Linked DNA regions of Notamacropus eugenii. The protein of the gene in region 1 interacts with the protein of each later gene in a pairwise test. Links are inferred from orthologs where the notes say so. Each region holds a gene or a part of one and is shown in the gene's direction. Other genes may lie near its edges.

The links.
Region 2: the proteins of RAPGEF4 (region 1) and SWAP70 interact in a two-hybrid assay, tested with the Homo sapiens proteins (2 studies listed by BioGRID and IntAct). The link is inferred for Notamacropus eugenii from reciprocal best matches to the Homo sapiens genes RAPGEF4 and SWAP70.
Region 3: the proteins of RAPGEF4 (region 1) and BMERB1 interact in binary tests that used the Homo sapiens proteins (3 or more experiments, as listed by UniProt). The link is inferred for Notamacropus eugenii from reciprocal best matches to the Homo sapiens genes RAPGEF4 and BMERB1.

What each region holds. Positions count from the first base shown.
Region 1 is NC_092876.1:234,643,283-234,650,230, forward strand, and holds the start of RAPGEF4 (rap guanine nucleotide exchange factor 4), read left to right. Parts: upstream 1-3,941; 5' UTR 3,942-4,040; coding exon 4,041-4,105; intron 4,106-6,948.
Region 2 is NC_092877.1:35,808,245-35,815,398, reverse strand, and holds the start of SWAP70 (switch-associated protein 70), read left to right. Parts: upstream 1-4,146; 5' UTR 4,147-4,295; coding exon 4,296-4,394; intron 4,395-7,154.
Region 3 is NC_092872.1:95,857,732-95,865,133, forward strand, and holds the start of BMERB1 (bMERB domain-containing protein 1), read left to right. Parts: upstream 1-4,305; 5' UTR 4,306-4,461; coding exon 4,462-4,567; intron 4,568-7,402.

The sequences.
Region 1 (6,948 bases):
CAATTAACAGTCAGCTCAAACACCACCTTCTCCAGGAGGTCCTTCTTGATTCATGATATTCCTTTCCCCCAGATTGCTTGGTATTTATTTTGTACATATTCATGTGTACATAGTCCTCCTTAATAGTATATAAAGAGGCCCTTGAGGTTAGAGACCATTTCATTTTTGTCATTGTATCTCTATCACTGTCATTGTATCCTTGTATCACTGGTACAGATAACTCTAAATTCAGGAAGTAGGTATTAATAAGAAAATGCTAATTTAATACTTGTTGAATGATTGATGTTAGTCACACCTGATTTGAGCAAGTTACTTGGGTAGAAAGAGTGTGGGTTTGGGAGTCAGTAAAGATGATTCTGTTCACTAGCGTGGTGACTTTGCGTTGACACTTAACTGGCTTGAGCTTCAATATACCCATCTGTGAGATGAGAGCATTGAATTAAACAATCTCTAGGTCATCTGTTGACTTTGACATTCTCTGTTCTAAGATTTCTTCTAACTTTAATAGCTTTTTTATGTTCCAAGATACCTCCCAGCCCAGATCTTCTTTGTTCCAAGATCCCTTGCAGGATGGACTCTGTAATCATACATGAATTTATTAGTTTATTAGACCAGAGGTAGGAAGGAAAGAGCTGCAGATTTGGAGTCAGAGGACCTGGGATGTGGTTCTGCTTTTTATCACTAACTTTCTGACATTGAGAAAGCCCATCAGTCTCTTTGGGTTTCAGTTTTGTCATGGAATCAATGATCTCCATAGTCCCTTCCAGTGATATCAGTGATCTTATTTCTTTCACAAGTGTACACAAATCATCCTTGCTAACATGTTGCAACCTACTTATACCTATCTTATATCTCTCCTTTGGCCTTCGGGTCTAACGCAATTTTGCTTTTGAAATTATAGTACTTCATGATTTGCATTCATAAGCATCACTGGGAAAATATTAATGTTAAAAACATGTGTTTCAGCATTAAAGAGTTGCTTGGGATTATTGAAAGCAAGACACAATTTCTTGAATCAACTTGATAAATACAACATGGATGGGGTAAGGCAAGGAAGAAACATCTCTAAAAATAACTGGGAACTTTACTGAATTGCTAGTTCAAGATGAGTCAACCAACGACATATGGTAGAAAAATTCTTCCCCTCCCCAAAACATGAACTTAGACTTGTATTGATGGATATGTATTAGCCAGGATGAGGAGAGGTTTATATCACATTGGTAGTATTGTATTCAGTCCTTTAACCACATTTTAGGAAGGAAAATTCCTTATTACTCACTCACTCATTTATGAAGTGGAGGTGCCCGATTCTGCAAGATTAATCTGGTGTTCCCTATTTCCTTTCTGAAGCCTGCATATCTATATATGCCACAAACTACATGTACGACCTAAGTTGGAGAATATTCAGAACAGATTAGCCTGAATGGTGCCAGAGAGTTCCTGTAGGCCATATGCATATCCATTTAATAAACTGAGGATGTTTAGCAAAGGGAAGAGAAGACATATTGGATATGATACCTGTCTTCAAGTATTTCCATTCGTCATATGAAAAGTCATTCGATTTGGTCTGTTTAATCCCAGAGGACTGAATTAAGATCAGGGATGGGGAACAGAGTTACAAAAGAGGCAAATTTAGGGTTGATAGTAAAGAAAAATTTCCTAATATTTACAGCTAAATGAAAATGCAATGAATTACCTTGAGAGAGAATGGGTCCTTCACATAGGAAATATTCAAACAAAGAGTGAATGGCCTTGTTGGATATCTTATAGAGGATTAAGAGGGGATTCTTGTTCATTCATTCCTGTACGAGACGGACTAGATGACTTTTGACCAACCCTGAGACTCTGTGAATATGGTTTTTCATCTCTATTATCTCAGTAGTAAACCCTTTGTAGCAATGCTCTGAATTGAGTGAACCAGCAAAACTCACAATGGTATACGTGAGTATTCTAATTTTCAGTAAGTTCAAGGTTTATTGCTGTTACAAATCTCACACTCATACTCACAAAACTGTCTACTTACCCACACCTTGAATTATTTTAGGCTGGATGTACTCCCTTTTTGTATAAGTGATGATAGGAAATATTGGCATAAACTTTGCTTATAATTAAGGAGAAGACTGTTCTCCTTGTGACTCTCATTATCACCATCTTTTGAGTAAGACAATCTGAGTAGGCATCTGTTATCCTTCTATGTATTTTCAAGAACCCTGAGACCATTAAATAAATCAGGCTACATAAGAAAGGATATGAGTCAACTGTTTTTCTCATATTTATCATATAAAAAATGTGACCACTGGAAATATTTTGGCATGATAATTTCTAGGCCGTGTTTTCAGTAGTCTCCATTACCTTGAAAAAAGTTGGAGAATTTAACCAAGGAAGTTCAACGGGGATCCAAAGGACAAACTACGAGGAGGGAAGTCCACTTGATAATCTTGTAATCATATCCTGAGATAAGGTGGTTTGAGGATAAACAGAATACTTTCTGGGGTGTTTTAATATGCTGTCACTTCTAGGGGAGTAAAAACATTCCAAGAGCTTTCTCTCTGCTTTGTTTCTTTAAAAGCAGAAGAGAGGGACCATGGCTGTGACTCTGGTCCCCTGAACTTTTATTGAGTAATTCACTAACACAGCCATTGTGATAATCAAAAGATTTAATGAGTCTCAGAATTCTTGAGCAAGTCAGAGAACTAGTTTTTCTCCTCTGGTAGAATCTTACTGGATAATTTCTACATTGCTTATTGTTTGTTGACTCTTAAAATGAATAAGCCTTTATGACACAGTCCACCTTAGGTTTTGGGTTTGGTTTGCAGATGGGGGTGTAGGAGCTGGAAGTGAGTAGGCAGGTGTTGTTATCTCTGGAACAGTTTTTTCAACAGAACTACCCACACCTCTATTCTGATGGCAGCCCTCCTTTCCACTTCTCCCTCCAAGAGAACTTTCTTTGTGCGGCTTCATCTGAATTCAAGGTTTTCTCCAATCAAATGTGACAGCAATCTCTGTTTTTCCTTCTTCTCCCAGTTCCACATGCTGCATCTCCAGGCCTTGGTTTGGGGATTAGGCTACAGTGCTCTCTCCATTCACCTCCCAGGCCTTGGTCAATACCTGAAATGCCAAGCAGTTCTCCCCACCTCTGGCCCACGTCCTCTAATTGGTATCTTTCCAGGACCCAGCTGACAGGGAACTTGTTGCCATTGGAGCTGTTCTAGCGGAGACTTTTTCTTGTCCCCTCCCCTCTTCCCTTCATCCTTTCCAGAGGAGAGAAATGAAAAGAAAGGTGAGGAGGAAACGCCAGCAAGTTTTGACAGCTGCTGAGGAAGATTAATCGGTTTCTAAGGAAACACAGAGGCAGCAGCCATTTTAGTGGCAGATGCCGTATGAAAAATAATGACACTGACAACACATCTCTCTCCCCCCGCCCCCCTCGCCTCCCCTCCCACATTCCCCTCAAACCATTGCACCGAGCTGCGGGCCGGGCTGGCGCCAGTGAGAGCCAGGTGGGAGAAGAGCAAGCGAGCTAGGGAGCGAGCCAATCCCCCTGGCCCGGCCACCTGTCGCACAGCAGCCACCTAGCCTGGGGGGACTGCGAAGCTCCTCACTCCCTGCCTGCTCCAGGCGAGGAGACACACCTGGGACCCGCAGTGCGGTCTGCTCTGCCCTGAAGCCGCCACTGCCCTCTGCTGCTCAGCCCCAGCCCGGGGACCCGGGAGCCTGGGAGCCCGGGAGCCCGGGAGCCCGGGGAGCTGGGGCAGGGGTTTCGAGGTCAGCCGTCTGAGCTGCTTCCCGCTTCGCCAGCCCCCACCCGGCAGTCTCCCGCTCCTCTGCCTGAAGGCCGCAGGAGCCAGGCTGAGAGGGAGGAACTGGGGTGGGGGGGAGGGAGAGGGATGTAGAGGAACCTACTGCTTGCTGCTCTCTGGGTGAGAGGAAGAGAGGAAGGAGGTGGTGGTGGTGCAGTGGGTAGAGAGGAAAGCCAGCTGGAGAGCAAAGGCACTGAGACACAAGGGAGGTGGCTGACTGGCTCCCTCTGACAGCCCAACATGGTCGCTGCGCACGCTGCCCATTCTTCCTCCTCCGCAGAGTGGATCGCCTGCCTGGATAAAAGGTATCACAAGAACTCTTCCCCACCCCCCAACGCCCCGTTTCCCCCCAACCTCGCCCCCGCCTCCCCTCCATCCCAAGCTGCTGCAGCGGCAGTAAGGAGCTGCTGGTTGCATTGCGGTGCCGGGCATCTCTGCATCCCGTGCCTCCCTCCCCAGCACCAGCACCTGCTTCTTTGGAGACGAAGAGCAATCAGAGAGCCCTCAAGATGCCCAGGAAGAAGAGGGGATGGCGGAGGAGGAATTGGGGGGAGTGCAAGGGGAGGGACCGTGGCCCAGAATCTCCCTAGGGGATGTTAGGAGAGATACTCTCACCCACCCCGCTGGAGTAACCATACACGTGGGGATAGAAAATGAAATGTGGTTATGTTAAAAAAACAAACAAACAAAAAACATACCACCGCAAATCCTCTGGCTAGACCCTCTCTGTCCTTCAACAGCTGTCTCGAAGCTGCCCTTTGGCGAACCCCACTTCTATTAGTGCAGGAAGGCAGAGGGGTAAAATCTGATATTTGCCTGGCAGTTTGGACCAAGGGGGAGGGGGCGTTTTTCTTAACTTCTATCTGAGGTTTGGGGTAACAGATAAGGCAGCCTAGCGATTCTTTTCTTGCTCTGTGAATCAAAGTATTGGGGCCCAGTTGAAAACTTCAAACCATTTTGCATATTTATTCCCAGTGGTCTCCTCAAGGTTTGTACATTAGATAGGTCATGAGGCCGCCTGGCTACTTTGGGTTTTTTGTTTGTGTGTTTTGGGTTTGTTGGCCATTCCGGAAAAGGGATACCTTTCCTTTTGTCACATAAACAAGCAAACAGCCAGTTCATTTTAACTTCTAAGTACAGTTCCATTAACAGGGATTCTGTGCGTGTGTGTGTATTCAGGGTGGGGGTGTAATTTTCCCAGGCGATGACAAGATAATTTTGTGTTTGACCAGATTGTGGGTTTAACAGTAAACATTACACAGTATGTAAGACATCATAGTTTATTACCCTGATTAAAAGGTGCTGCATCTGAACTGTGCTTGGAATTAAAATCTAAGCAAGGGATCTCACAGAGAAAACCATTTCGAATTTTAGAGTTTGAGATAGTCCTGGTGGGGAATATTTCAATGTCATGTTGCTATCTGCATAACATCTCTATTTATAGTTGTGTGAAATATTACTTTCTGCCATATTGAAACCTTTACAATGATCATATTTGTAACCAATTAGAAATCAGAAATCTGACATATAGATTGTATGCTCCAAAATGATAGAAGTTTGTAGAAGATTTAAGCAGTTTGGAGAAAGAGGAATACTGTGTCTTTTTTAAAAAATCTCATATAGCTGACAGACATTTAGGGAAAAGTCTGACTTTCATTTGTCATATACTAGCAAGATTTTTGGCAAAGGGTGCCCCTATTTATGTCTAAAACAATATGTACTAATATCAGAGAAGTTACGTGCAATAAATAGCAAGAAGATTTCAGTGACAGTTAAATCATACAAAATTATTTCTTGGAACTAGGAGCATTTTAAAATGAATAGTCTACTAATGTGGAGAGTAATCTGAATTTAATTGTTTATGAAAAATGGTTTTAAAAATAGAAAACCTGGCTCCTATGCTTAATGCATCTATAAATTATCTAATTATTAATGCTTTGTAATGAAATGTTTCTTAAAATAATAAACTTTATTTTTCCATTTGCCCTAAGGTTTAATATATAATCTCTTTGCATGTTTATGATGGCTAATAATTCACCGGGAACCTTTTTGCCAGCATTTTCCTATGATAAAATCATATAGAAAAGTCAGCACTTAACTGATCTGTTTTTGAGCTGGTCCTTTTTGTAATGTTTCTGTCCTACTGAAACTGTTTGAAATTTGATTTTTAAAATATAGAGCTATTATTAACTAATCTGTCATCAGTCACAATGGTTAAAAATCTGCAAATTAAAAGAAACCTTTAGTGTTTAATTACTTAAGCAATGTTAAAGAGTTTCTCTTTGGGGTATAGTGAAAACAGCAATAGGCTATATATAAAGCTGGAGACCAGGGTTCTAGCACCAGTACTGTAATAACGCAGGATGTGATTTTGGGCAAGTCAGTTCACCACTGTCTGCCTAAGCTTCCTGAGAGGCAGCGTGGTGTAGTGGATAGAGTGCTGGACTCGGAGTCAGGAGAGACCTGGGTTTGAATCCCACCTCTGACACTTCCTAGCTGTGTGACCATGGGCAAGTCACTTAAAATCTCAGCGCCTCAGTTTCCTCATCTGTAAAATGGGGATAATAATACCTGTAGTACTTACCTCCCCGGGAGAATATAATGATGAGGTAAGTACTACAGGTATTATCCCCATTTTAGAGATGAGAAAACCTTACAGAGTTGTAGTCAAGATCAAATGAATTAAGGTATGGGAAATGCTTTGCATACCTTGAAGCCATGTATAAACACCAAAGACAGTTATTATTAGTGGTATCTGTAAAATGGGGATATTAATATCTGCCCTGCTTATCCTTCAGGGATGCTGAAGGATCCAATGAGCCAGTGTACATGAAGTCACTTTGTAAAGCCTAATGCAATAGAAGTATAAGATGGTATTAGTTTGTGACAGCAATGACTACTTTGCATTTTGCTCACTATTTCTAGAAGGAACTGTGTCTTGATGTGGTCATATAGTTAGTAATGAATAATGCATATGACTATCGATACAGAATCTAGTTATATCCACGAAGGAGTTTATAGTCTTTTTTCTTGTTCTTGGTTGTAGACACATAACCTGCAGTGTCTCAGTTGACTGGCATATTTAAATGTCAAGAGAGATCACAGGCTAAACCAGACAACTTAGCCATCCTGGTGTGTCAAGAATGTT
Region 2 (7,154 bases), on another chromosome or scaffold:
CAGTCTTGAAAGTCCACTGCTTTTGGGGAAATTTTTTCCCTCTAGTTTATTAAATAAATCTGTCAATCTTTTCCATGTATGAAAGAGGTGAGGTTACCTGGGCCTGGAAAAGAATTATGTTATGATGGACAGAGAGTCCAAATGGCCTGGACTGAAGTCCTGTCTCTGCCTTGTATTAACTCTATGACACCAGGCAAGTTATTTAATGTATCAATACTCTAGGCAACTTTCTAAGGCTTTAACTTGAAGAGAAGGTATTGACCTGCATTGGTAGAGAGAGTTTCCTCCTCCAGGTCCTATTTTCACTGAATAAATAATATCTGATGAGCTAGAGTGGGCATTCTGACCTTAACTGAGAGTAAGAGAGGTTTAAATTTTAGCAGTTTATGAAGAAATACCAAAACATAAGTGGGCATTCTGACCTTAACTGAGAGTAAGAGAGGTTTAAATTTTAGCAGTTTATGAAGAAATACCAAAACATACTCCTGGATACCCTAGAATTTGTAGAACTCTCGTATGATGATGAGACTAAATGTGGTAAAGAGTTAATTAGCAGGCTGGGGGCAGAACTCTGAGTGAGTTTGGTTAAACCCAGATCCTCTGATTCCCTGCTTCATATACATACAGTTCTTTCTAATTTCCCAAATATCATTTCCTTTAGTCCTCATAGCAACCTTGTGAAGGTGACAGGGCAAAGTGTTTTTTTTTACAGATAAGGAAACTGAGGCTCAAAGACACAGAACTAGTAAATATCCCATTCCAAACTGCAGCTCTTCTGATTCTTTGTACCACATTGGGAATTCCACCACATTGGGAATCTGGAATTACAATTGTCCCTGTTATCATCATCATCATCTTCATTTGTTGTTGTGGGTCACTGCAGTCATGTCCTACTCTTCGTGACCCCATTTGGGGTTTTCTTGGCAAAGATACTGGACTGGTTTGCCATTTCCTTCTCCAGTTCATTTTAGAAGATGAGGAAACTGAGGCAAACTGAATTAAGTGACTTGCCCAGGGTCACACAGCTAGTAAGTGTCTTCAAACACTGATTGAATACTTGTTCACACCATACCCTGTGCCGAGTGCTGATAGAATAACTAGTATTTATATGGTGCATTAAAGTCTGCAAAGTACTTCACAAATATTGCCTCACTTTTTCCTCACAACAGTCCCAGGAGGGAGGTGCTATTATTATCTCCATTTTACCGCTGAAGAAACTGAGGCAGACAGAGGTTATGTGACTTGCTCAGAGTTACATTGCTGGTGAGTGTCTGAAGACAAATTTGAGCTCAGGTCTTCCTGACTCCAGCAGCACTCTATCTGCTTCTCCATCTAGTTACCTCCGGTCATACAGGATGGTTGGAGTAATCATCAATTTCCTCTTCTAGAGGAATGAGTGCGTCACACTCATCCAGTCAGACTCTCAAATCACTTCTAGGACCACTGATGGTCCCTTTTATGAAAGGCAGCATGATAGAGGGGGAAGTACTCTAGGATCAGTCAGGAGACATAGATTGGAAGCCTAGCCCTACTATTTCCTGTGTGACCCTGGGTAAGTTCCTTCCCTTCTCTGGACCAGTTTCTTCTGTAGAATGTCCTAAATGATCTCTGAGGATCTTTCTAGGCTTAACACTTCTAGGGCTCTGACTCTCCCTGCATCTCATTTTGCAGAAGCACAAGAAGCCTGTGACTATACTCAATAGAAGACATATGTAATTTTCCCAGGGCTACGAGCAACACATCCTTTTCATTAACAGTAGGAGATTATGAAAGAAAAGGACTTTGAAAGTTGTGGTCAAAAATAACAGTTTTTTCAAAACCCTGAAGACTAGCCTCTTTTATGAAACCTTCCCTAGTCTGCCCAAATTTATAACTTGCTCATTCCTCCCCCTACATCTTTCCCTTATTTGGCATAACTATATTTATCAATATTCCTTTATTTTTTTAAAAACTATTCATGATACCCTTTATCTTTTTCATCATATTTTCCCCTTTCCCCATTCACTCTCTTCTTAAAGAAAAAAAAAGTTAAGCAAAACCAAGGCCCTCATCAATCACCCCTGACAAAGTATACCACATTGTGCACCTGTAGCCTCCCACCTGTGCAGTGAAAGGAGGAAGGTGGACCTTCTCATCTCTTCTTCAGGGCTAATATCAGTTATTATCAGCATTTAGCTTTCTTCCATTTTTCTTTTTTTCCCACTTATATTGTTGTAGACGTGGTATATATTGCTTCGCTGGTTCCGCATCCCTTATTCTGCCTAACTTCATATTCTCTGCTATTCTTATAGCAATCATTCCATCCACACACCATGATTTGTTTAGTTATTCCCCTTTCGATGGACATTCACTTTGTTTCCAAAGTGCTGCTGTGAACATGGAGATGGATGTGGGAACCTTCTGTCTGAGACCTCCTGGGGATGGAGGTACAGGCACTCAAATATTTTCTTGCTAAATGTTCATGCAGTTGGAAAGGTCCCCAGATGGTATCTCCAGCACAAGACTCCTTTCTACAAAATCCCCAACAAGTGGCCAGGAAGCATCTCTTGAAGACCCCCAGTGAAGACTCACTCAGTCTGGAGGCAACTCCATTTCAGCTTCGGATAGCATCGATTACTGTTAAACAGAACAAAATAGGACTTGGCATTTATAGAAAACCTTCAGATGAGCTGAGACCTAAGGTTAAGTTATACAACTAACGAAGGGCAGACTTAGGACTGGACGCACCCAATGCTTTTTTGACTCCAGATTCAACAATTCAGCTTAGACCACGGTGAAATCAGTCCTAGGAAATCCTAAACATTTATAGCATCCACCCAGGGAGAAAAGAAGTGAAGACTTCTCCCAAAGCTATCTTTCAGTTCAACTTCAACAAATGTTACTTTGTTGCACCCTGTGGAATTCTAAAGACTGTCTGGGGAAAGCTCAGGACTACTTTGGCAGTTTGTAACATTGTCCTGTGTGCTGGGGCCTGGGGAGAGGCAGAATTTAGGTAAGACTCATAAGCTAGCTGGGCCTCATTATCCTCACCTGTCAAAAGAAAGGGATTCATTGACCAGATGGCATCTAAACGTTAAATCGATGATCTTGTGACCCCCCAGCTTCTCTGGGGAAGAGGGATTATATTTTTCTTTCTTGGCATCAAAGGGACAAATGGGGGGGGGGGGGGGAGACGATGTTGTAGACAGGCAGATTTAGGCTCCATGTCAGAAAAAAAAACAGGAAAACACAAAAAACCTAACGGTGCAGGAGAACCTTCCAGCTGCATGGAAGTGTCAGGGGCCGCTCTAGGAGGTAGGGGGTTCGCCTTACTAGACGTCTTTGTACAAAGCAGGGGTTCCTAGCCTGAGCCTCGTGAACTGCTTACAAAATACCTTGATAACTTCAGTAGAGTTGGTTTCCTTTGTAATCCCATGTACTTTATCATACCAATTTAAAAGCAGGCTTTAAAGGAAGGAATCCTTGATTAAGCGCCCCCTTTCTTCGGCTCATTGAAGGGGCCATTCCCTGTTACTTCTTAGAGAGGCTGATTCACCGAATCTAAGTGAGGCCGGGGTCTCCCATCGCCCTGGGCCACCTCCAGTCGTCCTGATGAACCCCTGAAGGCTCAGGAGGACAGGTGAGGTGGGTGACCTGCGCAGCCCTGCCTCCCTCAAAGCAAAGCCAGCGCAGGTCACGTCATCATCCCTGTGACGGCCCGGTCTTCTTGGAGACGAAGGACGAGCATAGACAGACACCAGGGACCCTCACAGGGACCCGGGGGGGCAGGCGCCATCCCCGTGCCCCCCTTTCCAGGGGAAGAAAACGGGGCCGGCTAGCCCAGGGTCACACAGCCGCAGCCCGAGGCTGGCCTTTCTGCTTCGCATTCTTCCGACCCAGTCCGGGTGTAACCAGGGGGCAAAGCTTCCCTGGGTGGGGAGGGTCGAGCTTCCCGACGGGCTCTGCTGGGATACTCGGACGCTCGCCTAGGTCTGGGGGCGGGGCCTCAGGGAGCCCGGGCCGGCGTGCAGCGCGCGCCGAAGGCTTTGCTCCGGGAGCCGTGGGCGGAACCGAGGTCGGGCCCCGCCCCTGGGCCCAGACCCCGCCCCTGGCGCCTCCGCACGCCCCCGCCTCCTCCCCGGCACGGAGATGGGGCGGGGCGGGGCGAGGGTCAGGTGACCGGGCGGGCTGGGGAGCCAGCGAGCCGGCGGGCGGCGGCGGCGGAGGTGCAGCCGTGCCCGGGGGCAGTGTCGGAGGCGGCTGGGTGCTCCGCGCTGGTGGGATCGGGGGCTCGCGGCCGCGGCCAAGGCCACGCCATGGGGGGCCTCAAGGAGGAGCTGCTCAAGGCCATCTGGCACGCCTTCACCGCGCTCGACCTGGACCGCAGCGGCAAAGTCTCCAAGTCTCAGCTCAAGGTGGGTGCCTCGGACCCGCCCCCGCAGGGGCCGTCCGTCCGTCCGGCGGGGCCGGGGTGGGGGTGGGGGGTATGGGACACCGGCTGGGCCTCGGCCTCGGCCTCCCTGAGCTTTTAACCTTGGCGGCGTCCTAGCCCCGTGGCCCCGAGGCCGTCTGGTACGGACCCGCTCATTTTACAGAGGAGGAAACTGAGGCCCAGCGGGCTTCCCTCCCCCCGGGCCGCGGACTCCGGGCCAGGCCGCGCTGTCGGGGCACGGCTGGGCAGCCCCCGGCACGTGGGAGGCTGGGCCGTGGGACAAGTGGGTAAACTGAGGCCAGGCCGGAAGAGGTGCTGCCTTTGTGTCTGTTTTCTTTTTTCCTGTTTAAAAAATTATTTGTTTTGTTTTCAGTGCTGTACAGCCACTTCCACGTATCGTAGATTTCCCCCCTCCCCCTCCTCTTCCCCCCTCCCTGCCCGAGGCGATGTGTAGAACGTATGGAGGTTCTACACCGGGTACGTGTGTTTTCTGTCCAGTGTGTTTTTTCACAGTTTTCGAGTGTGTGTGTGTGTGTGTGTGTGCAGGTTCTAGGTTGTGTGTGAGTTTCAGTCTGGGGTGTGTGTACGTTTCAATCTGCAGAGATTCTGGTTGTGTATTCTTCAGTCTAGTGTGTGTATGTGTGTAGGTTCTGGTTTTATGTGTGTGTTTTAATCTTGGGTGTATGTACGTTTCATCCGCACAGGTTCTGCTCGTGTGTGTGTGTGTGTGTGCAGGTTCTAGGTTGTGTGTGTGTTTTAATCTTGGGTGTGTGTACGTTTCATCCGCACAGGTTCTGCTCGTGTGTGTGTGTGTGTGTGTGCAGGTTCTAGGTTGTGTGTGTGTTTTAATCTTGGGTGTGTGTACGTTTCATCCGCACAGGTTCTGCTCGTGTGTGTGTGTGAGTTTCAGTCTGGCGAATGTGCGTGCACGCGGTTCAGCCCTCGCAGGTTCTGGGTTCGTGTGCGTGTGTCCAGCTCCAGGGAGGCTGGCTGGGGCTGCACGTTAGTGAGGGTGGGATGGGGGTGGAGGAGGTAGCACTCCGGTGCCCCGATCCTGTCTAGCTCCCTCTGCCGCCCCTGGCTGCCCCTGGTTCCGTACACCTCCGACATGAAGGAGTTAAGAGCACGTGTCTACAGCCTCTGCGGGGGTGAGGATTCGCTTGGTTGGCGACACCTATTTTTGGAAGTTCGCTTTTACTCCCTTTGCGACTGCTTACACACCCTCTCGGTGGCTAGGCATTCTCCCTTTGCACGACATAGCTACTTCTGTGTTAAGGCTGGAACTAGTGGAAATCTGGAACTCAAAAGATAGCGTTTAACCCTTGTGGGTAAAATGTTCCTTACCTGGAGCAGCCCTGTTCTCTTTCTTCTTCCCCTTCCCACCAGGGTTTGACTGTAGCTTTTAGCTTTGCCAAAAACTTTTTTCATGTCAGGCTAAAAAGGCTTGCCTGTGTATTGAGTGAAGGGAGCAAGGGAAAAAGCTCAGGCTGGAGGAATGGGCAGGCAGATATTTCCACGTCCCAGAGAAGAGGAACCTTCCATGTGAATTTTCAGGATGGGCACATTTATGCTTTTCCTCAGTGAATTCTTAGAATTATTTCATTAATAATCAAACAAGCATACAAAATAAGGGACAAAGTAAAGCCAAACTTAGGAGAAAAAGACAAACGTGTACTTATTATGTACCCTTTGCCAAGGCCCTCTGAATTGCCTGCACCTTCGGCTTTAAAAAAATGATTATGTAGTGGCCAGTGAGGGCAGTTCTGGTGCTATGGCAAGGCACTATGCTCTGCACTAGGAATGTGGAGAAAACCAGCCTGTCCCTCAAAGGAACTTGCATTCTATTGGGTGGGGAGGGGAGTAGTGATTTTTTTTTTTTTTAACAAATTGCATCCGAACTCTGCACTACCAAATCATTGTACCAGAGAAAGGCATTTATTCCAGTGATGACACCATTGCTTAAAACATCTTGGAAATCCTATTTTGCCATTGCTTTTTGCTTCTGCTTCATGTTATTTCAAATGTTCCTGATGATGGTAAATCTTCATCCTTAAAGAAATTCTTTACCCAGAAGAGTTAAATACTGTCTTTTGAGTTCCAAATTTCCAGTAGTTCAGCCTTAACAGAGAAGTAGCTACGTTGTGCAAATCAGAAAATGCCAATCCACCCAAGATAGGGTATGTAAGAAGCTGGAGAAGGAGTCAAAGCAAACTTCCAAATATTCTTAGATCTGATTTTTGTAAATAACTAAAACTTATTTGGTACAAAATGGTGCTAATTATTATTATTTTTTTAAATTTTCTGTTTAACATTTTATTAAAGGCTTTGAGGCATTGTACTCCAAGTTGATTTCACTTGTTTTTTCATTGAGTAAGGTTTTCATTTTAAGTGGGATGGGTTGATTGGATAATCCATTCATTTTGACCTCCCACTTTTACATAGAGCACCTTAACATTTACAAAGCTTTTTCTTTTTTAAAAGTTATTTTTAGTTTTCAACATGCAGTTCCACAAGCTTTTGAGTTTTAAATTTTCTCTCCCTTCCTTTTCTTTCCCCTCCCCAAGACTGCACGCAGTGTGATTTAAGCTCTACATATACATTTCATATTAAACATAAAATGGTGCTAATTATAAAGGCTAAGGCTGTTTGACTGATGGACTACTTTGGGTGGCCTCGATTACCAAAGAGGTATTCTAGGCATGTTTTGAGTAATGGCAGCATTGAGTCCTAGATGAATACTGGG
Region 3 (7,402 bases), on another chromosome or scaffold:
ATTTATTAAGAGCATACTATGTGCCAAGCACTAGGGGTACAAGTAAGAAACCAACAGTCCCCGTCTTCTAGGAGTTTGCAATCTATGTTTGTTCATTTCTAATAGATAACTATGTCTTCACTTGTATTTATGATTTTCCTAGCAAAGATGGAAAGAGATCAGTCAAACAGATGTGTTTTCCAAAAAAAGAAATAGTTCTAGGTTCCAGGAGATGTTGGGGGTAAATTTGTGGCAATACTGAGGGCTTGAACAATTGCCATGCATGTCAATCTCCACATTTTCTCTTCTTCCCTTGACTTAGAACAGATAATGATACATCTTGAAAAGAAGCAGATTTCTGTGTAGAGTGCTTCATGATGACAGTTTAAGCAACTGGAACATTTCAATTCAAAAACATTAATTAAATGCTCACTGTATACTATGCTACATGCTAAAGAAGGTAAAGAGTTTAAATAAGATATATAGAGCTTATTCCTTCAATAGAGATTACCCTATGGGGATTAGAATATGCTGTTGTTCACTTATTCAAGCATGTCAAACTCTTCATGACCTTGTAGACCATACTGCCCATAGGGTTTTCTTGGCAAAGGTAGTGGAGTGGTTTGCCATTTGTTTCTCTAGTGGATTAAGGTAAAAAGAAGTTAAGTGACTTGCCCAACTGGGTTGAGGTGGGGGTGTCACACCTATAGCCACATAACCCTAACTATCTGAGGCTGGTTGAACTCAGGTCTTCCTGACTCCAGCCCCAGCACTTTATCCACTGAGCCACCTAGCTGCCTTCTTATGATATACTCATGCAATAATTATAGTACAAAACAGTACATGCTAAGAGAGATATGGATAGATTGACATGTGAATTCCAAATGGTTGTTGGGGTAGGGAAAAGTCATTATAGGGAACGCTTCATGGAGGTCATAGTATTCAAGTTGTGCTTTGGGTAGGAATTTAAGCAGATAGAGTGCATCCTGGGTCATCTCCAGTCATCCTGATGAATATCTGGTTACTGGATTCACATGGCTCTGGAGGAGAAATGAGGCTGGTAACCTCATTCAAAACAAAGTCAAGTGCAAGTCATGTCATCATTCCTCTGATGGCATGGTCTTCTTTGGCAATGAAGGATGAACACAAGCAGGTAGAGAAAGGTGGTGAAGAAGATAGAGGCATAGTTGTGAAGCTAGAAATACCAGGAAAGTGTGGGAATCTCAAATCCCAGGAAGAAAAAGACTAACCAAAAGGAAGGCACCACCAACAGTGTCAATTGGTGCCCAGCAGTCAAGGAAGTCAACTTTTAAAAGAAGTTTAGCAGTAATTGGGAAACAGTGTGATCCTAGGCATAAAAGATGGGAAACTGAAGGATGTGTATGAGGAATGGAAAATAAGTAACATGGTTTGGCTGAAGGCTAGAGTCAATGAAGGAAGTAGCAATAAAAAGACTGAAATGTTAGGGTATCAGAGTGTGAAGGTCTTCGAATGCCTCAGGTAAAGGAGTTGGAACTTTGAGAAGAATTATCTGTTTTTCCTTTCTGTTTCCCACCCTCCCATGAATGGATCCACCCAAGTCTTCCTTTCAGAGGATCCCTAAGAGTTGCCCTAAACCCCTGCCTCAGAGGAAACTTTCCTCAAGCATCTATTTACTATGCCTTCTCCCATCATACTATGGTCTTTTTTTTGTGCCCAGGGCAATACAGGACAGTTTGGCTTCCTTTTGATCACTGCTTTTGCAAAGTTTAAACATATGCTATCAGTCTTTAAAAATAAAACAATTTTGCTGCATTTCTAACTCCAAGCTGGTAGAAATATTAGTGATTAAAAACAGAACCTCTGATTCCATATCATTCTTTTAGCCAGTGGTTGCTCTGTGGCTGAAGCCAATTGGACACAGCCAACTCCTACTTTCAGTTCAGTTGCACCTTCCCTGATGCCATGACCTCTCACAGATGTCTCTTGCTCTTCTCCTTCCTTTAGTGCGTGTAAAGGCTGGATTTCTAATCACAGTCTCCAGGCTCTCCAAAGCTCAAGTAGATAAGCAAAGGTGAACCCCTAGTTCACTTAGTTGTTCAGGTCATTCATGATTACTTTTAGTTTAAATATTTCATTTTTATCTTAATAAGAAAGATATGAAAGTATTAAAGTAGTGTGGAGAATAGATTTGAGGTGGAAGAGAGGGGGAGGCAGGACAATCTACTGGGAGGCTATTGTGATAGTACAGTGGGTGGTAATGAGAGCTCGTACCAGGGGAGGGGTGAAGCAGAGATAATATGAAGGTAGAATCAAAATAATGATAATTGAAAATGAGAGATGAGAGAGGGATGGAGAGTCAAAGAGAAGAACAAAATTTTTAATGTGAGAGATGGGGCAAATGGTGGTTCCACAGATGGAAATAGTGAGGTCAGCAGGAGGAAGAGGTTTTAGTGGAAAGTCATTGAATTTGAATTACCAGTGGAATATCTAGGTAGAGCTAGAAATATTAGTTTGGAGTTTGAGTCAGAGCCAGAGATATAAATTTGTGAGTGACTTGCACAGAATGATACTAAAAATCACAAAAGTGTTTGAGATTTCCAAGGGATGCAGTACAGAGGCAGAAAAGCAGAGGGCCCAGGGCACAGCCTTAAGAGAATGCCTATCTAAAAGGGTCAGGGTCCATTGGGGAATACCTACTTTAAAAGATGAAAACAAGAAACCAGTGACAGAAACAGAAAAAAGAATGGCTAGAGAGATGGGGGAATCAGGTGAGTGTGGTGTTCCAAAAGTCAGATAAGACAAGAGTGGTATCACACAGGAGAAATAGCAATAATGCAAATATTGTGTAGAGTCAAGGAGGATAATAAGGAAAAAAAGGCCATCAGGTTTGGCCATTTGGTGATCATTATCTTGAAAAAAGTAGTTTGAGTGGAGTGAGGGAGATGGAAACTAGATAACAAAGGGGTGAGGAAGTAGAGGCACTCCTGTAAACAACTTTTTAAACAACTTGAGCAGTGAATGGGGAGGAGAGAGATACAATGTTGGGAGCTGTACTGGGGACAAGTATTAAGTGAAGGCTTTTAAAAAAAGATCAGGTGATCTGAACTTATTTGTAGGAAGATATGAAGAAACTATTAAAAATACATGGAAGAAAGGGTTGATTTATTTTCATCCTCATGTATAGAAATATTAATACAATCCTAACAAACCATTATACAAATTATACATATCATGGATGTATATCCTTATGTACATTCTCATTTTAACAGGTTCCCTCTCTTAGCTAAGAAAACAATTCAGTAAATTCATGGAAGATAAGAATGGAAAACATTGTATGGTTAAGATTCAACTATTGCTGGGAATATATACTTCTGTTGACCTGACCTTTTATAATTATCTTGTATCCCTTCTGAGTCATTGGCATTCTCAGGAGTAGCAAGGCACTAATCCAAGTTCTGAATCCAAGGGTAGAAAATCACTCCAGAACTTTTTCAGAGTTATTTAAATTGCCTTATTGTCACCCTGAAACAGTGCAAATGGACAGGTGTTTCCTCTTTTGACGCAGGGTTGAAATCTTGTCTTTTAAGAAGATTCCAAAATTAGATTATTTCCCTAGCACATTGTAAAATAATTTTGCATTAAAGAATAGGGCCACTGGATACAAAGCACCAGATAGAATCCAAATGTTATTTTTGCTAAATGTATGTACTTTGTCTTCTTAAAGTCACTGTATTTTGTGACTGACAATGTTATTCAGATTTCTGGAAAGTAACTCATTACTTAACACTTTTGTAAGTACTTAGCATTGTAGATTTCAAGACAAAAAGGAACTAGAGGCCTTTCCAATTAGTTTTATGGTATCTAAGGATATGATACCTTTATCTATCCCTTTAGTTCATATACATACAGATTTCACTGCCTCACTGTTATACACGCAGACGTATACAAAGGCGTAGTGGCTGAAACACAACTTTCTCCCAAACCCTTGTCCATACACCAACACCGACACATTTGCATTATTCACATAAAGATGGATACATCGTCCACAGACATGCTCACGAATGCCACACAAAGCTGCTCAGCCTGCTTACAGATGATGAATAGCGCTCACAGACACAACCATATGCAAAACACATACAAACCCCTGACACTTTTAACCTTTCCTCAAGACATCGGAAGCAGAGACACAGCATACATCCAGTGTCTTGCTCACTCTCCCTTGGCTGTTATGTTTTTGTTACTGTTGTTTGCAGAGTTATTTCCCTCTTCTCGCCACCCAGCCCCCAGACCTTCTCCGAGTCACTACTGCGCATGTGCTCTGCATCCCTCCCCTTCCTGGGTACCAGTCGGGCTCTCCCCGACTCTGCCGGCGGAAGAGATGCAGTAGCGTCACGAGCGCCCAGCCCCTTAAAACGCTGCTGGCTGGAGCCACCTCCCTCCTTGCAGCCCGCTGGGGGGATGGAGTAAAGGAGACCCATCGACCCGCCAGTGGAACCGGCTATGGAATTAAAGCAATCGTTGTCCGCCCACCTGGAGGCTGAAAAGCCGCTGAGGCGCTATGGGGCCGTGGAGGAGACGGAATGGAAAGCGGAGGGACTGGGGAGAAGTGAGTACCCGGGCGGGGAGAGTGGAGCAGCCCTGCAAACACGCTGGTGGCTGCTTAAGCGCGGTAAAAGCTGGAGACCGTTCCCTGCCCGGCTGAAGAAAGCGCCCCCGCAGCGGTGCTTTTAGCTGAGGGGGGCGATGCGCAGCGCCGCGCGGGCTTAGGCTTCTAACAAAGGGGGACCGGCACGTCATTCCCGCTGGGTTGTCAATCGATGTGTCCTCGGTCCAGGGGACTTTGCAAAGACAGCCCAGCGGGAAATGGAGAGGGAACACCAATTCCTGGGCTCTGATTTGGGCTTTAGAGATCCTAGTGCAGCCTCTTTCTGATGGACCTTGAGGTGGGCTCTCTTCCTCAGTTGCAGGCAGGCAGGAGGAGAGATTAGGGGTGAAGGATGATTTTCCACCCTGATACTATGAGAACAAGTGGACCAGGAATTCCTAAGAAAGGCAGTTGTCCATGATCAGTTTTCTTGGTCGAGGGTGCATGTGAAATTCTCAGCATTCCTTCTTTTTCTCCAGACACACATGCTTACTTCACCTATTCCGGAGTGGGGAGAGGTGGCACTTGGCTCAACTAAAGGTTTTGGATTGTATGTGCTGTCACTGTATAACAGATGGGCTCTGTTTGCTAAATTTCTAAGGTTCAGTGCAAAGAGCATCTTTCTAAAGATGAAGGATTTTTTTTTGAAGGATGCAACAGTTGACACTTCTGCCCCCAGAGTCCAAAGGCGGGAGGGTGCTTCCTGAGGGCAACAGGGACACTAATCCTCCTTGCAAAAACCTAGAGAGACTCCAAGTGCCCTTCACTTTGCTTGCTTTAATGCAGCTGTTCACCAGATGTTGTGAAAAGTCATCTCCCCTCCTCATTCAGTCTGTACATTCCTGCCTTTGCTCTAGATTACCGTTCTCAGAATTAGCTATAAAGCAGGCATATATATACATATACGTATATGTATATGTATATATATATTTCCAAGCTACTGGGGGTAGAAATGGGAGTTCCATTGACACATGACATATTTGGTTTAATTTTTATTTCAGTTTTCTTGGACAGCTTTCAGTCTCAATGTGTGTGCTCTTTGCATCATCTCTGTCCAGGAGCGAATTGTGTGTTTTCACGTTTTTCCCTTCTCCGATCATTGAGATTTAGAAAGTCTTCTTAGAATGGCACAGATGTGTTCTGATTCAGGTGTATTCAGCTTGAATAGGGACTACAGGTTAATCCATGTTTGGACTGCTGAAGTTTTTTACAGTATAGCACAAGGATCTCTACTATTTAACCTCTTTCTCCCCCCGCCCCTTCCATCTTTCCGATATTCAAATGTCAAACTCTCCTTCTCACTTAATATTTCTACTGTGAGTTTTGTTGCAGTATATGTTATGAGATTACTACTGAATGTATCAATATTTCTTCAGACTCGATTGAATAGACTCCCAGGGTATGTTCATTAATTTCACAATCATGAGGAAGCTGTGGCTGCTTCAGGAGCCTGCCATGTTATGGTCTAATCAGTAGACATGGTTTTGGACCTGATAAGCTGATGTTAATTTAGATCAAACTTTTAATAGAATCTGTAGAAATGACCTGCCTTTTTCCTTTTGCACAATAACACTCTGGAGTAATACTGAGCTGTTGGTTATCACTCACATCACCTTATTGTAGCCTTTTCTTTCCCTGTGAACTTCTTAATCTTTTAGGTCACAGGCTATAAGCTGTTCAGAGCTTTTTAGATAGATTCCTTTATATGTCTTTCTTGCAGTAATCAAACCTATTCTCGTGCTTTTTAAAACTCTGCCCACAGACTCTGGTCTGTTTTTTACAGCTACCTTAAAATCCAAAGTTGGGATTTTTTTTAAACTCAAATTTGAAATCTTCTTAAGAAATTGATTTAAGACAAGCTTTGGAATCTTAGTTTGATAGCTGATAGTTTCATCTTTTGGGGTTTCATACTCTTGACTAGATAGTCTATTATAAGAGCTATTTGAGAGAAAAATAACAATAAGGAGCTCTTTGGGGATCCTTCCCACCTTCCTATATCTACGCCATCATATATAACATCTATGAAATGTATTTATATAGATTAATATGGTATGATGATTGTTATTATTGATTTCCAAAAGTATAAACACCAAACTGATGTAAGGATCTGACATTTGATGTTGAGGTGCTTTTTTATTTGCATAATGTAATGGAAATGTAGACCCAAGGTAATGATTCATTTGCCTTTTAATAGGAGAAAGAGCTCTCTGTTAATGGAATCTCTACATATTTAAATTAATTTTGTTAAACACTAAGCATGTGCTTAATTAAAAGATAACATAAAAGAGAAAAAGACCAGAGGGCTGTTTTTTTTTCTTTTTGGTGAGGTAGGATTGTATAAAATTCTCTTATTAAATGTCTTTAGCAACAATAATAATGAGAAGCTGAATATCTAATTATTCAGAGCAGAAAAATATTTGAGGACTTTAAACCAGATTTTCAAGTCCTAGCTTCTACATATTCCAGTCTCTTCTTCTATATAACTGGAAAAAATAGCTCTACTTTCCTCATAGGAAATTGCTTTGAATCTGTAGAAAGAGTTTCATGGGGAAAATACTTTGGTTTTTAAAAAAATCCGGATCTTTCCTCTAATCACTTTCCTCTGTTGTTGAGACTCATCTTTTGGATTTGAACTGGGCTTTTAAGAGTGGGTAGAATTTAGATAGAAGGAGAGGAGGGGGAAGGGCATTCCAGGTGGGTGGAAAAGCATCAGAGAAAGCATGGAGGTGGGGAAGAGCATGCTGTGTGCAAAGGACAAGAAAAATGTGGAAGGCTCATGCAACAAATTTTCCCACA